2 linked regions of the Danio rerio genome follow. The protein of the gene in region 2 purifies or fractionates together with the protein of the main gene of each other region. This does not show direct contact. Links are inferred from orthologs where the notes say so. Each region holds a gene or a part of one and is shown on either strand. Other genes may lie near its edges. The genes, in order: ybx1 and trim25.

What was found.
Region 1: the proteins of trim25 (region 2) and ybx1 purify together in Homo sapiens (affinity purification with western blotting; 4 studies listed by BioGRID and IntAct, with this or other methods). This does not show direct contact. The link is inferred for Danio rerio from reciprocal best matches to the Homo sapiens genes TRIM25 and YBX1.

Annotation. Positions count from the first base shown.
Region 1 is NC_133183.1:56,876,951-56,881,368, reverse strand, and holds the start of ybx1 (Y-box-binding protein 1), read left to right. Parts: upstream 1-1,304; 5' UTR 1,305-1,510; coding exon 1,511-1,616; intron 1,617-3,690; coding exon 3,691-3,754; intron 3,755-3,966; coding exon 3,967-4,000; intron 4,001-4,082; coding exon 4,083-4,172; intron 4,173-4,418. UniProt on the Homo sapiens protein: DNA- and RNA-binding protein involved in various processes, such as translational repression, RNA stabilization, mRNA splicing, DNA repair and transcription regulation.
Region 2 is NC_133181.1:24,418,941-24,423,311, forward strand, and holds the start of trim25 (E3 ubiquitin/ISG15 ligase TRIM25), read right to left. Parts: upstream 3,009-4,371; 5' UTR 2,951-3,008; coding exon 2,357-2,950; intron 1-2,356.

The sequences.
Region 1 (4,418 bases), on a different chromosome or scaffold from region 2:
TGTTTTTATTTGGTGATTCCATATAATATTCCTCAGATTTGTGTGATTCCATTTTTTTTTTCCTTTGTTTGATCTGTTAAAACAGTTGTAATTGACTACAGTCTTGTTTCATACAGCCAGAAGGTTGGATTATTGAATGGAAATAGTTTTGTGGCATGTGATTCCATATTTTTTTTGCCAGGGGTTTTAGTAACTAAAACCAACAAAACATTGTTATGTAGCATTAAGTGATGCTGAAACATTCATTTTAATTACCTACATTACCAGTCAAACGTGTTCACCAAGGCTACATTTTTTTGATCAGAACACATTGGGTAACCTTGTGAAATATAATATATTGTATTTGTATGAAAATGTTGTTTAACACCAACATTTTAGTGATTTAAAGCCGATTTTTTAGCATCCTTTACTCACTGAGATCAAATTTGTTTTATATTCACACATTTGGACTTTCTCCTTAATAATATAATTTGAGAAAAGCATTATTTGCATTCTAAATGGTGAAATAATGTTAGCAGCCAGTGACTATCAAAGACAACATTGTTCACAGTAAAATAAATAGTGCTAATGTTGTGTTCAAGTCATAGACCCTACATGTGAGTTCAGACCGAATATTCAAAGTACCATGGTAAACAATATAGGAAGCATGTCACAAGTTGTCAATAAATGAATATGTGAAATATAAAACCAACTTTACCTCAATCCGTTACTCCAATCTTCAGTGCCACATGATAGTTCAGAAAACATGCTAATGTCATTTCAGCTCTTGATATATATTACAACTTGTATTAATAATTTGTTCTGCTTTATAATAGTGAGGGGGAGACTATATTTATTTCATGATACTTTCGAGGAATGTTCAAACACATAGACACATACACACAATGTGTATTATATATAGCTAAATAGTATCTTGTCTATCTGAGGTACGTTTCTATCTAATCTACACATTTTACTGACTTTCTATATTTCTAATTTACTTTTACATGCATATTTCATTTCACTTTACATATATAAGCCTACCCTTAGGCAAATATAAATGTATGTCAATCTCTTCGTTAAGAAATCTGGAACTCAAGCTCATGTTCTGGTTTTACGTTTGTTTCCCTTTAGCGTGTGTTAAATATCTACCTGCCGGTATGTCTGGAAGGTTAAATAGGGTCTTGATTTGCAGGCGGTGCTAATTATTTGTTTAACCAGTCCCGGTCAGCCCTACAATTATTTTTATGTGAATGATAGCAAAAGTGTCCAATGGGCGTCGGCGAAAAAGCTGACGTTGACTTATCGCAAGTTCGTCGACCAATTAGATTGGGGAATGGGTGGAGAGATGTGACAGAATATCGTCCGGCATTTTTACTCAGTCCGTCCAGTTCGATCGGCAACGGGAGCGGAGAAAGGAAAGCGGAGAGCCCGAAGGCAGCAGCCCCCACCACCGCCGGCCCAGGTTACCATCTAGCACCGGGAAAACACACTAGAGAGCCACCGCCGGCTTTACCAACAAGAAAACAACATGAGCAGCGAGGCCGAGACACAACAGCCGCCGCAGCCTGCCGCCGACGCGGAGAGCCCGTCCAGCCCGGCAGCCGCAGCTACCGCGGGGGATAAGAAGGTCATCGGTAAGCTTGTCGGCGAAACCAAAGCCCCCCTGGCCTGCGGTCGTTTAAGTTTCGGAATAATACATTTTCTTAAACGCTCCAGGGTTTATTTCAGTTATGTTACAAAATGTATGTCAGTTCAAGAAAGGCCACGCTGTCTGCGACTGTGCTGTCGTTATTCCGTCACCAACTTAATTTGTGTTCTGTACCCGTGGCGTCCTGCCTGGTATTTTTGTTTTGGAGCTGTCCGTTTATTTACCACATGTTAAGATTTACGTACATTAAACTTGAGACGTTAAACGGTTTCACCCAGTTTGAATGTTAACTCGCGTGTCGCGTTCCATCACATCCGCGTGCGGATTGAAGACCGCCATGACGCGTGCTCGAGCCCGCGGCCTGCTTCAGCAAATACGAGACGCAGCGTGCTTCTTGCATTTACATGCTCGCTGTCGTGAATTACGGCAGCAGATAATTTGATAATTTTCTTGTATAATATCAGTATGCTTATTTGTTTACTGGTCGATTTTGACTCTGCGTGAAGCAGATCTTTGAGCTTGGCCTTGATCGTGACATGATGACCCAGATCATTGACCATAGCTGTTCGCGTGAAACGCGCAAACCTTCCCATCATAACGTTACGTGTCCAATTATTGTGGTCAGCGCGAACCGTGTCTGTTTAAAACCCAATCGCCAACTTTGGGAGCCGGTTTCTTGTGAAAGCGAAAACAAGCCATGCTAATCTCCTTCTCTTTGTTCGCTTGAGGAGATTGACGCGTCGCGCATACGTGTCCTCCTCTCCATTAACACCAAAAACGCCGCTTCTTCAAGATTTTATCAACCGACGTACGGTTTATAGCGCAGATTGTATAACAGCCGTATAGATAAAGATAAGCTGCCCGTGTCTCGCCACCCCGTTTAGAAAATGTCCGCCACGGTGTTTGGATGATGGACGGTTCTTTTGTCTGCTCCGCTGCTGCAAACACTGAGCGCTTCGGGCCTTTAACTACAGGCCCTCGGCGTTTGTTTATCGCGATCCCAACACAAATAAATAATGTTGGGTAACATCGTGTCCTGTAGCGAGGATGGCGTGTCTGTGTAGTGTTTGGCTTCGATCCGGCCACATGGCTGAGGCTACTGTGCTAACTGCAGTTAGCATCTCAAGCATCACTTCCTATAACAGAAATCGCGCATTATTTGCCGAAATGTGGTTTGAACTAAATCCAAATCATCAATTAAAATGAATTTTATTTCGACTGATTTGTTAGAAATACGCACGTTTTATTGTAGTTCTTTCTCCTTCTCACTTATTTTTTGTGAACGTTGGTGTTTAAAGTTTGTCGTAATGCCACAAAGCAAAATATTATTTGTCATATTAAATAATTTGGCCTTTAAAAACAAACAAAAAAACATTATTAAAGTATTTATATGCGTCTGCCTCAGAGCAAGCATTTCTTCCAAACTTTAACATTTTAGATCCGAAATGTTCTTCATGTGGACCTGCCGGTTGTCAAATTTTAAAGGGACTTGCTTATGTGTCAACAAAAACCCAGTTTACACAATTAAGACTTCAGTTTACGCTTCAAAATGTAGCTCGCTTATTTCCCCTCATCACACACTCGCACTGTTAGAGGTTTTGTTTATTCTTTTAATTTTTATATTAAGTAACTTATTAATGTGAAGCCTCTCCTGGGGGAAGGGGTGTGGGGTTTTTAAAGGATTATTAAAGTTTTTTTTTTCTGATTGCATTAAAGATTAGACCGAAACCTGATTTCATTGTTTTTAAGTGTCGACCAAATTGTGATCTAAACAAAAATGAGAGGTAATACTTTGAACTGCTTGGGTCAGGGCCTTTCATGGTGATGGAGGCTCTTGTGATAAGTGCAGCTGCCTTTGCATCACAGTCTATTAAAAGCTCTACAGTTGGAGGCTATAAATAGAGCACACAAAATGAACTCCGCTAGCCAGGGATGGTAACTTTGCTCAATGCGTCTTTCATTATTCGGTGTAACCTGACTCTTGAATACTGTTTTTTAAAATACAGATTTGTTTTGAGTCTTAAATCTGTTTTTAACAGCCCTTTTCCTCATCTTTGCAGCAACAAAAGTTTTGGGGACAGTGAAATGGTTCAATGTAAGGAACGGCTACGGTTTCATCAACAGGTAAATAACTTTCAGCTTCTGAAGAGCTATCTAATATAATATGTGGGTCAGGGAACATCCACAATCCTATTAGAGCTTTGCTTACAAAGCAGGACCTGACATGCACTAGCATGCTAATATTTATCCAAATATTTAACTTGCTGCTCAACTGAACATGCTTGTTTACACTAAGTCCTCGGCTTTTAATGTTTTCACTTTCTTTATTTTTGCAGGAATGACACAAAGGAAGATGTCTTTGTGCATCAGGTGATTATTTTCTCCAGTTTTCTTTTTATATTTGTGTTGGGGTAGATGTATTTTTTTCTGATTGCCTTTGTTTTCTGTCTAGACCGCCATTAAAAAGAACAACCCCAGGAAATATCTCCGTAGCGTTGGGGACGGAGAGACTGTGGAGTTCGACGTGGTAGAAGGGGAGAAGGTGAGCTTTTAGTCGTAGCTTAGTTTGACTCAAACAAAAGTTTCACCACACAGTTAGAAATATTAGGCTTGAGGACTTGTTTAATAAAAGTCAAGGACAAATTATTTATTGAGAAATGTATTATTTCTTTCTTGCTTTTATGTAGTACTAGTCAAGCTTTGGGCTTTAAATTAAAATGCATTAAACAGCACAAAATCATAACACAGATGTCAAACTCAATCCTGGAGGGCCGCAGCTCTGCTCAGT
Region 2 (4,371 bases):
TGTGTATGGATGTTTCCAGGTGATGGGTTGCAATTGGAAGGGCATCCGCTGTGCAAAACATATGCCGGATAAGTTGGTGGTTCATTTCGCTGTGGCAACCCCAGATTAATAAAGGGACTAAGCAGAAAAGAAAATGAATGAATAAATGTTGATGTTTTTTAGACTACCTACCAACTTACTTTAAGTTTATTATATTTATTTGAATTATTAGTATGTGTTTTTATTTAAACATGACAAATCACAGGTAAGGCAATGTTTTCTTTAAATATCCTCTTGTTTAAAGTTGCTGAATTAATAAAAAAAAACAACAATGTTTTAGAATTATGCATTTTTGTTTACAAATCTATGTAAAACCAAACCTGTGATATGCAGCCCAAGACCGGTTACTCACTGAAGCTAAGCAGGGCTGAGCCTGGTTAGTACCTGGATGGGAGACCACTAGGGAACACTAGGTTGCTGTTGGAAGTGGTGATAGTAAGGCCAGCAGGGGGCGCTCAACCTGTGGTCTATGTGAGTCCTAATGCCCCAGTAAAAGTGAAGGGGACACTACACTGTCAGTGGGCGCCGTCTTTCGGATGAGATGTTAAACCGAGGTCCTGACTCTCTGTGGTCATTAAAAATCCCATGGCACTTCTCGTGAAAGAGCAGGGGTGTAACCCCGGTGTCCTGGCCAAAGTCCCTTGGCCCTTATGATCATGGCCTCCCAATCATCCCCTTCCACCGAATTGGCTCTATCACTGTCTCTCCACTCCACCAATAGCTGGTGTGTGGTGAGCGCACTGGCGCCGTTGTCCTGTGGCTGCCGTCGCATCATCCAAGTGGATGCTGCACACTCGTGGTGGTGTGGAGAGATCCCCCCTCATGATTGTGAAGCGCTTTGGGTGTATGGCCATACACAATAAATGCGCTATATAAATACACATTACATTACATTACATTACAAACAAGTAATCTGCATATCTGCCAAAGTTTTTAGTTATTCATAGTGTTTTATTTAGTTACTTTTTTGCACCTTCCTTTCTTTGTTGCTGCTTAAATTAGATTTAAGAAAATGGTATCATGTGTAATATTTTATATGCACAAAATATTTTAGTATGATCGTTACACACAGTTTTTTTTATCTAACAATAAATAGAATTTCTCAATAAAACTGTTATTACAACAAATACCATTAATGCAATATTCAGCAACAATATTGCATATTTTCTCAATATCGTGTAGCCCTAATCTGTTTTGAATTATACAATTAGATTGTATACGCCTTCTGTAGACATCAGTGTGTATTTTACAAACTACAAATGTTTTGTTTTACCAATTCAAATGTTTTGTTTATATTCAAATGGCTACAACTTATTGAAAACACCTGCCTACATCGCGGAAGGTAGACAATAATGTGAAGTGAAGTGACAGTTTCTTTTTGTGGGCAAAGCTTTGAATGGCCTCTTTGCACTGTGTCATCAACACAGGTGAGAGCAGCTGTAAAGAAGGTATTTTTCTGACTGAACTGGATGTGTGCTTACATCTTGATAAACTCATTGTGGGTTGAGGGCAAGAACGGGCAGACCTTTGGCAAGGAATTTACTGTCTACTACAGGACACACTGCTTGTGAAGGAGAAATGACTTTGAAATTCACTTCAAACATGTCCCACTGTTCCGTGTTGGATGTAACCAACGACATAGAGTCATCTGCAAACTCCTCCAAAGAAGTATCAACGAGCGCCTTCTCTGTGTGAGACTGGCCGAGACAGGAGACTCACATCCAGTGAGACATTTGTAAATTTTTTGGGGGATATTTGCTTAAATGGAGCAAATTTGTCAGATGGCCGCAGAAGTGGAGAAGTCCACTGCTGTGCCTTTTTAACAAGAAAGAGCTGTAAGAGTTTTACTTTGAGGTATAACTCATTGCTGTAAAGAAGTTATGTGATGAATGGATAAATTACAATAACATGTTGAATGAATCATGAAGGGCTGGGCTATAGATCGCGACCGGCACTACCTTTCCTGGCAGTCTAAAGTGCAATTGCACAATTGTAAACCAAGCAGGCTTCATGTAAATTTTTGGGCCCCAACACAACAGTTACCCTTTGTTGTGGTCTCTCCCTTCACAACTTGTCTACTAAATAGTGTAAATTTAGTATATTATTTACTATAATAATTTATATTTTTAATAATTAATATATGGACTTTTTTATAATTAATCATTAAAAACGACAAACAAAAAGTATATTTACAATTAACATGTTTACAAATGGCTTGAATCTAACACTGGCAATACAAGTTTTGGACTCTTTCAGAGCGTATTTTTGTTTACAGCTGTTTAAATTCACATTTCCGTGTTTATTAAGAGGGCCTGACCTTTTGTTTGAAGCGCCGCTCATCTGCGGTGATGAACTCACAGCCCTTGTGAATGTACTGAAGACAGGTGCTGCAGATGCAGCTCTGGTGCTGAATGCAGTAGAACTCCATCAGTTTGCCATGATCGGAACAGAGACGCTCCATTAGATCTGGCAGCGGATCACAAAGTTGATGCGCCCGGAAAATGGCATTCTCTCGGTGAGGCCTCACATGATCTTCACAATAGGACGCCATACACGTCAGACAAGTTTTGACCGCTTTGGCTTCCATACAGCTGTCACATTTAATCGCATCTGGATCCTTCTTTTTCTCTTCAACTGGATTCTTGACAGGTTCCGAAATGCCCGCTTTTACTCTATAGGCATCCAGCACCGCGCCGAGGACAGTGTTCTTCTTGAGTTCGGGTTTACTGCTGAACGCCATTCGGCAATGAGGGCAGAACAGAGACGAAATCTTGTCTTTCCACGTCTCTTCGAGACAATTGGCGCAGAAGCTGTGCCCACATATTAAACTTACCGGGTTATCGAATAGACATAAACAGATGCTGCATGTTAACTCGTCTTCGAGACCCAACAGAGACATTTGTTCCGCCATCGTTCGTGAAGGAGAAGCTATGACTACGCACAACTCTGTCTGTTGCCGAAATGAAACTAGAAAGGCGGAGAAACGAAACTTATGTGCAACGTGCCTACGTCAAGTACACCCGTCTGCAGCCCGCAGATCTGGGCGGGGCTGAATATGGGGCGGAGCTGAATGTGCAGCCCCGCCCATAAATGGGCGAGACTGAACATGTCACTACGCCCACAAGTCTTTCATTGGTTCATGGAAACAGACGTTGATGTAATGTATGCTTTCGATTCCGGTTTTCATCTCTGCATGGTAAGTACACATCTTCTGTCATGTAAATGGTCAAATTATAGTGCAGTACACCTCACGTATTATGTGTCATTTATTTAATTAAAGGCCTTTAAGGAGATATGAAGTTTTAAAGCCTAAAAAAAAATGTTTTCTGTGTTAGGGTTGGCGTTTTCCAGGTTGATCGTACAGTTGGTGGTTTTATTCACTTAGAAGAATAATGTAAACTTTAAAGAGTTTTGAGCAAAACAGTCCACCACATGAAGTTTATTAATATCAAAGATAACAAAATATATTTTTCTTTGTGGCATGTTCTGTAATTGATATACTCTGGTAATGTTAATGCTAAATATGTACAAGATAAAACTTGATTCTTAACTTACTGATCTATACTACATTCTGTTTGCAGATCATTGGCATTGATATATATAGTCATCACTATGATTCCTGTGGAGCATATTCTCTGTTTTATTTTATTTTACCTCAGTTCGTTCTCTCTTTTGTTTTAATAGATTTGTGCATTTAATAATTTTTAATATATTTATTTACACTTCATGTTCTCTCTTTTTTTTTTTTTACTTTATAACCCATGCATGAAACTTATGCAAAGGGGAATGTGAGGAGGGGCATGCCTAGTATAAACAAATTTAATTCTTTGAGTTTAACTTTAATATACTGTATGTTAAGCGACATGTTGATGATTGTTGGTTATTTTGTACAGATGCCGCCTGAGATCCTGTAGTGTATCCTACTGAGAGTTGTCACACAGGATGGTGATGGGACATTTCTGCAACTCTCACTGACATCCAGGACCTTCTGAGCAATTGTCATTCATTCATTCATTCATTCATTTTCTTGTCGGTTTTGTCCCTTTATTAATCCAGAGTCACAACAGCGGAATGGACTGCCAACTTATCCAGCAGGTTTTTACGCAGCGGATGCCCTTCCAGCCGCAACCCATCTCTGGGGAACATCCACACACACACACACTCATACACTACAGACAATTTAGCCTACCCAATTCACCTTTACCGCATGTCTTTGGACTGTGGGGGAAACCGGAGCACCCGGAGGAAACCCACGCGAAGGCAGGGAGAACATGCAAACTCCACACAGAAACGCCAACTGAGCCGAGGTCCGAATCAGCGACCCAGCAACTT